Linked DNA regions of Saccharomyces cerevisiae S288C. The gene in region 2 interacts genetically with the main gene of each other region. Each region holds a gene or a part of one and is shown on either strand. Other genes may lie near its edges. The genes, in order: SPO13 and MEI4.

The links.
Region 1: of MEI4 (region 2) and SPO13, a mutation in one rescues a mutant of the other (synthetic rescue), as found in Saccharomyces cerevisiae (2 studies listed by BioGRID).

The regions. Positions count from the first base shown.
Region 1 is NC_001140.6:130,126-133,755, forward strand, and holds SPO13 (Spo13p), read left to right. Parts: upstream 1-1,921; coding exon 1,922-2,797; downstream 2,798-3,630. Other genes in the region: retromer subunit VPS29, read left to right, coding at 1-323; peptide alpha-N-acetyltransferase complex A subunit ARD1, read right to left, coding at 605-1,321. UniProt on the Saccharomyces cerevisiae protein: Required for meiosis I segmentation. Probably acts as a regulator of kinetochore function during meiosis I: required both for mono-orientation of kinetochores on sister chromosomes and protection of centromeric cohesin from separase-mediated cleavage.
Region 2 is NC_001137.3:237,788-241,696, forward strand, and holds MEI4 (Mei4p), read right to left. Parts: upstream 1,988-3,909; coding exon 1,925-1,987; intron 1,837-1,924; coding exon 673-1,836; downstream 1-672. Other genes in the region: ERG28 (Erg28p), read right to left, coding at 1-229; ACA1 (Aca1p), read right to left, coding at 2,245-3,714. UniProt on the Saccharomyces cerevisiae protein: Required for meiotic induction of recombination, viable spore production and chromosome synapsis. Component of the MER2-MEI4-REC114 complex which seems to be required for meiotic double-strand break (DSB) formation.

The DNA.
Region 1 (3,630 bases), on a different chromosome or scaffold from region 2:
CATCAGAGGTGGACAAGCCGACTAAGGAGAATCAGTCGGAGGATGACGATGCCAAGGGTGGATCAACAGGAAAGGAACAACCTGGGTCTTACACGCCTAAAGAAGGCACTGCTGGGGAACGTGAGAATGAGAATGAAAGCAACGTTAAGCCTGAAAACCAATTTAAGGAAGACGAGGTTGATATGTCAGATTCGGATATAAATGGGTCTAATTCACCAAGTTTCTGCCTCTTGGATATTCAAGGCAATACCTGCACGTTATACATTTATTTATACGTTAATGGAGAAGTGAAGGTCGATAAAGTGGTTTATGAAAAGGAATAGGGTAGCCATTTTCATTTTTATGCATTTCTATGATGTCTAAACATTAGATGCATTCGTGAACTTTTTCTTGCAGACGAGATAGATGTAATTAAGATATCCTATCTGCCGGATATTACATATATAAAAAAAGAAAGCTTGCATGCACAGTTTCCTTACTATTCATGCTCACACAATTCTACCGAATTAGCACTGCAGTGTTTAGAACCGTGCTCAAAAAGAGCTAACAGAGCTTGTGAAGAAGCCTGGATGAAAATATACTACGTTTATATAGGTTGATTTAATTATACAATGATATCATTTACGCCTTGCTTAATGATATCCTCTAGTAGATCGCTTTCTAGATCGTCTTCTAGTTTTTCCTCATTCTCTTTCAAACGGCGATGGGTGAAGTTGCTTATCTGCAACTCCTCTAATTTTAAAACCTTCTTCATGGCGTATGCATCTTCACCATCCTGATAGTAGCTTTTCTCGATACTCAACACCTCAAACGCCAATGTGTCCCTGTACAAGTGTAAAGCTGCTCTATTAGATTGTCTCACATGCAAGGAAACATATTCCGCTTGATGAACTTCTCTCAACGCAAATAAAGCTTGTCTCATTAAGTTTTCGGCAATCCCCATCCTTCTATAGGTTCTCATGACACTTAAGGAAGTAATATGACCATTTGGTGGCTCGTTTTGCTGGTCGGGGTCGTCGTTCATCTTCACGAGAACGTATCCAACTAATTTTTCGCCCGGAGCCAAGTATGTTGGATCCAACTTGATTGTCCTGCCGTCATTGGTCCCATCTAAGGTCAATTCCAATTTGTCGTTCTCATCTTGTTCATCACTATCTTCACAGTCCAAAGTGGTGGTAGTAGCAACAAACGAAGCCTCTGGCCACGAGAGAATATGATACATATAATATTTCATCATATAATTTTCGGGTAGGTTATGAAGGTTGGCATTTTGCATACATATAATGTCATTGATTGTCGCTCTGCGAATATTAATAGGCATGGTTGACGAAGTTTTATTTTGGAGCTTGATCGTATGTATTTAGGTTTCCCTTTTCACTTGGCAATTACTCGTTGCTGACAAAAGGTTTCAAACTTTTCAGACGGTGCTTTTTTTTTCTGTTCAAAAAACCAATTGACGCGAGAAAGTGAGGATTGAGCCTAGAGATCAATAAAGACAAATTAGCATTGGATGCAATACTACTAAAGCAAGCGCTTTAAGAGAAAATATTTGTCCTGGAAGTCTCATGGAGATTATACTTTATGAATTCTTTATCTCCGGGCAGAAGGCACTTCAGCGTATCATTTGTTCCATGATATTTTCTGAATAAACTTCAGAATTATAATACACAGTATTTACACATCTAATTTTTGACTACAGTATAATATTCAAGCTTCTTGATTTACCTGCAGTTATGCTTAAATTCACATTTGAATTCTTTAGTATCCGTTTAGCTAGTTAGTACCTTTGCACGGAAATGTATTAATTAGGAGTATATTGAGAAATAGCCGCCGACAAAAAGGAAGTCTCATAAAAGTGTCTAACAGACAATTAGCGCAATAAGAAGAAAGAAAACGGATTGAAGTTGAGTCGAGAATAATTATGGCACCCAGAAAACGCTTTAGGCTACTCGAATTAGGGTCACCAACACATTCTAAAAGGAAAGTTCAAAAACCTCTTCAAGAGAAGACCCCAAACTTGCGAGTTTCTCCACTTGCTTTTAAAATTGGTAAAGAAATCAAGAATAAGGAAATCAGAAAAACAAAAAAAACAGAATCAGAAAATATATTCAATTCGAAACATGTCGATTTAAGACTAGAAAGCCCACATCCAGGATTAAATTTTGTAAGTGATGCTCAACAGTACTCAAAGGCTGGAGATGTTCGATATTTGAAAAATAAATCAAGCAATACCTTGAAAAACGAAAGACAAACAATAGAGCGCCCCTCATTTGATAATTCCTTAAGGTTCGAGGACATTGAGCAGCCTCCAAAATCTACTTCAACGCCGGTTCTTTCTCAATCTTCTCAAATAAATGTAGAAAGAGAAGCACCCATGTTTCCAGTTCCTTACTATATTGCTCCTTCTCCTATGTATAATTTTAGCCCGTATCAAAATTTCGTTGGAAACCCAACGTTCCTGACGCCAAGTCATAACCCAAACCTAAACTATGCCATTCCCATCCAACGGCCGGAGTTGCTTTATCCGAATGTTAACGTATACGATTCGCCATTGTTTAAGAAAACAAGACTGCCCCATCAGACCAAAAGTCTAGATAAAGAAAAAAATTACCAATATCTTCCAATATATCCGGTCTCGATTTCTAATAACGGAGATTTTGTTGGCCAAGAGACACCAAGGGCAGCACCAAAGTTAAGTAAAAAGAGACTTTCAAATACATTGGATGTTAATTGTTCCGATTATGAGTCTAGTGGACAAAATGCAACTTATAATGATAGTGAGTCTTCCCTTAATTAAAAAGATTAGTTTACTTTTTCTGTAGAATGTTAATTAGTTTATTGCATAGAAAATCTTTAATACTGAATGACAAAATTTCCACAATTTTTTTTAAAAAAATTATCGACAACTGCAGGACTCGAACCTGCGCGGGCAAAGCCCAAAAGATTTCTAATCTTTCGCCTTAACCACTCGGCCAAGTTGCCACTTATTATATAAGTCGTAAGCATAATATCAGGATCTTATGCCTTAGTATAAGTCAATTGAAATTGCAATCCTTGTATGTTTTATATTAAATTTTGGGTGAATAATTGGATAATTGTTTGAAATCCATTGTTGAAGAAAGGCTATAATATTCGTACACAGAGTATACTAGAAGTTCTTCTCGAGGGTCTTGGAATCCACAAAAAGGCGTCGATAAATCTCCATAACTATATTACTTTATCCTATTACATTATCAATTCTTGCTTTTAGCTTCTATTGTATTTGATAAAATATTTCGGCTTCTTTTATGTGTATGCGATTGCGTATTACTAAATATAAATTTATATTTCCTGCGACCATTTGTCCGTCAGAAAAGGCTCTCAAAAAAACAACACTACCCTTTTACCGGAAATCACAAACTAAATGTTAAAATAAGAATTTAACATCATCCATTGATTATGAATATTGAGTGAATGATTTAATGATTGTTGCGATTTCCTTGTTGGTGAAGGCTATGATATCAGCTATGCAGAATATACTAGTAGTTATCCACCAGAACATAAGAATCCTCAAAATGTAATTAAAAATCCACTATCGTCTATCAACCAATAATTATACTATCAATATATTATCATATACGGTGTTAGATG
Region 2 (3,909 bases):
CACAGGAAATAAAGGTCCAAGTACCGAAAGTTCTTGCACTCAAATGGGTTGTTTCAGTGGGTTTTCTTTCGTAGACTTTACGTGTCAATTCTAAACCAGAAACGTAAGTCTGGATAGAATTGAAGACTGATACAATGGAAATGAAAAGTAACCATTTTGGTAAGTAACCTTTTGGCATTGCTGCCAAGGTGGTCTTGGTTGTAGTTATTACGTCTTGTAGGCTGAACATTATCTGATACTTTAGTGTATTTGAATCCTTCGATACTATGGTCTAGCTAGTGTCAAGAATATAAAAACCTGAAATTAGTCAATGCGTTTACGTCAAAAATAGTAGCAATAGTAAAGCAAAACAACAGGCTTGTTCAGCTTAGTTTTATATACGGGGGTAGAGAATACAATGGATCGTACCTTTTTTTTTGTTTCCTGTTCGTTCCGTCCCCGAACGAAAAAATCATAAAATAGAAGTTTCCTATCGGTAATACCGTAAAGTTTAATTCAGTTCGTATAAGATTAGGTTAATCATGGGCAAGTCCGGAAGAAGCGTTTTAATGTAGGTCTGTTGGGGAAGATGTTGTGTTCACTGTAATTTTCAACTGAAGTTGTTGTCCCCGAAATGAAAGAGCTTTCGATATTTTTGTGTTTTATAATGCGCCTCCTACTGCAAAAGAAAAATTAAATGTTTTCTGTCTCATTGAACCATCTTGACAATCGAAAGCGCGCTATCAAATTTCTTTCGGCAGTAATTAATAAGGCCGCCTGTATATATTTCCTTTTCTTCTGAAGCGATATTTCATGAGCCGGAAATTTTTCCAGGAAAGGTTTTAAGTGCTGCCATTCAATGCTTTCAAATGTCTCGAGCAATGATAGAATAACTATCTTGAGTATTTTCAATAGACCCCCTAACTCTTTTTCTGGGACACCGCTTATTACACTGTAAAAGTTCTTTAAGTAGGTTTTCTTCAAACTCAATTCTCTTTCGAGGTATACTCGACAGTACGCCTTTTTCCGGTTGATGCATATTAGTTTATGCTTCGATACAAATCTAATAAGTACATGTATCAGACTTTCGATGATGATAAGTATGTGTTCAATTAATTTCAGAACAGATACGTATTTTAATATCTGCGGTTCAAATGTTTGGTTTGTCTTGATTTTGATGAGTTGAATGTTAATAATAGAGTAAATAAGGGTAAAATGCAACGAACACAAGCGCTTGTAGTCAACTTTATCACATAAATGTTTGCCATCTCCCTGGTCGTAAAAGTTTTGAAGCCATTTTGGATCGTTTTGGTTCTTCTTCAATAAAATTCTATTAAACAGAAACTTGGCGATGAAATTGAAAACATGAACGTCTATCAGTGTCCTCTTAAAAGAAGAATCAGAATCTATGCGATGCGAATAATGAGAAACTAACAAGATTTGGAGTGTTTGAAACACTTGCGATAACCCTCTAAAGTCAATTTCTTTTGTTTTTAAGCTCAGGATTTTTAGCAGAATTTTATATCTCGGTAAAAACCAGTTGTTTATATCAGCAGTTGATACATCTTTGCTAAATGATTGCAGCTCCTTTAAACCAACTGCATCTTCGAAGCTTTTGTACTTATTCTGGCAAAGGAAATTGTATATAGGTTCCAGATGAGCAAACAGTGATTTATTATTCAAAAATCCATTTTCGAAAGGCGCAACCCATTTGTATATATGTTTTGAGTTTTCCCGAGGATTTATTTTTAAATTTTTTTCACTCTTGAGAGCACCTACATCTTCGACATCTCCTTTCTTTCTTGAAAGTGCCCTCTTCCACAACGTAGGATTCCTGGATTGAATTAAAGCAAAACACTGTCATAGATAATATTCGAGGAGATTACACCTCTTACTAAAAGTTAGTAAAGAGAAAATAGGTTAAGGATGTGACAATTTCACGTACGATTATCCAGTCAACTTCCGATGTTTCCTTTTGTTCCATATCTTCCAGTTTGCCTCTACTCATGTCCTTACTCTTCTAAAAGATTATTTAATGAAACTGTTTCACAACTACAAGATGTTTGTTATGTTTTCTTTTACAAGTCGGAAACATTTAGCCGCCCAGCAATATATATGACTCCGAAAGAAAATGAAAGGAAATACATACATAGTAAAATAAATCGTTTAAACATAAATAATCGTACAGAGGAAAACATTAAGGAAGGAGAGTCAAACTAATGTACTGGGAATTTGGATCTCCCATAAGAAGTATGCGCAATACTTTTATTCATCATATAGACTGGAGCTGCGTATCATTTCTTCAATCATTTTCAGAAACCCGTTAACATCACTATCCTTGTTTTGAAGGCTTTGATAACTATTATTACCACCATTAATTGTGCATTCTTGCATGTGCAACCTCGAAATTTTCTTCATTTTTTGAACCAATTTTTCGTAATTTTCAATTTTTTTCTTCATCATTGTGTTTTCTTTGCTTATTTGGTCAAATTCCCTTTGAAGTTGTAATTGTGACATTTTCTTTCTCTGTCGACACTTGGAAGCGGCAATTCTGTTTCGTTCTAGTAGCCTTGCACGCTTCCAAGCTTTAGCACCGTCTTTCAAGCCTGCAGTATTGTTCTCTATTTTTTGGGGTCTAGCTTCCTGCTTTATTTGGAAGGTTGCTGTAGTGTGCATAGAGGAGAAGGGCGCGGTATGTACGTCTTTCTCACTATTAATATTGTTTTTCAGTGCAGAAGTGGCATCCTTGTATTGTGGTTTTGAGTTGGCATGTGTTAAATTGACATCAGGGCATTTCGATTCGTATGGAAGGCTGCTTGAAATATTCAACTCGGCATTTTGGCAGGAATTATTAACAGTGTGGTGATTAACGCCATGGGAAATTGAAGAATGGACGGATTGATTTTCGATATTATGATCATTAATGTTTTGGCAGGAAGAAGAAGAGGAAACGGAAGAATTAGAGGCTGGAGTACATGGATGCACATTCAATTGAGCGTTTTTCCATGCCTTAGTTTGCATTTGAGCTTGTAATCGGAGTTGCATGTTGATGTAAGCCTGATTCATTGTGGAATCGCCAGATGGGATAGAAGGCGTGGCAGAAGGAATGTCACAAGTGGCTGCTACTGCGGGTATGTTAAGCTTTATATTGCTATCATACGGGGTCATTGCAGCGTAGATATTCTTGCTACCTGTTTGAGGTGCAGCTTCGGGTATGACTGTAGCTTGTTCGTGTGGTTGTGGCACGTTTTGCAATTCGTTCGAGCTAAAGCTTGGGTATATGGCTGCGCTTGGATTTGCCACCTGTTGAGGATTGGGATTCTGTTGCGCCTTAGACGATAGGATCGGAGGCTGACAGTTGTAAAGATTTTCAACCGTTTCTAAGTCTTCGCCTAATTGACTAATCTGACCATTGGAGATAGATATGCGTCTTTTGTACACGGGCTGATCAAACGCTGGTAAAGAACTTTGAAAAATGGGAGGGTTGGTAATGGGAAGATGGCTGATGTCGACGCCAAAGGGTTGAAACATTGGACCCAGGTTTTCTTGCACGCTACGGTCATGCAAACTGTTTTGGTGATGAAAATTGTAGGCAGAATCCACAAGACCAGGACCCGATGGTTGTTTGTATATAAGCTCCTTGTTTGAAGATAGAAAATCTGTATATAAGAGTGGGTTCTGCCTTCCATCTAGGAAAGAATCTGGACTTGTAGCAAAATTATGCTTATAGTCCATACTTTATTTGGTTCCTTAGTCGTTACCTGGTGTTATTCCAGTACTATTAATATAACTCAGTACAATTAGCTGCCGTGAAAAAAAAAAAATAATAAGAATACAGTTTCTGCGCTTTTAGTCGGTAAGCACTCAGATTGAGAGATCTAGATTTACTATATTTTAATAATAACCAGTTAAAGCAGATTTTGAAGATGA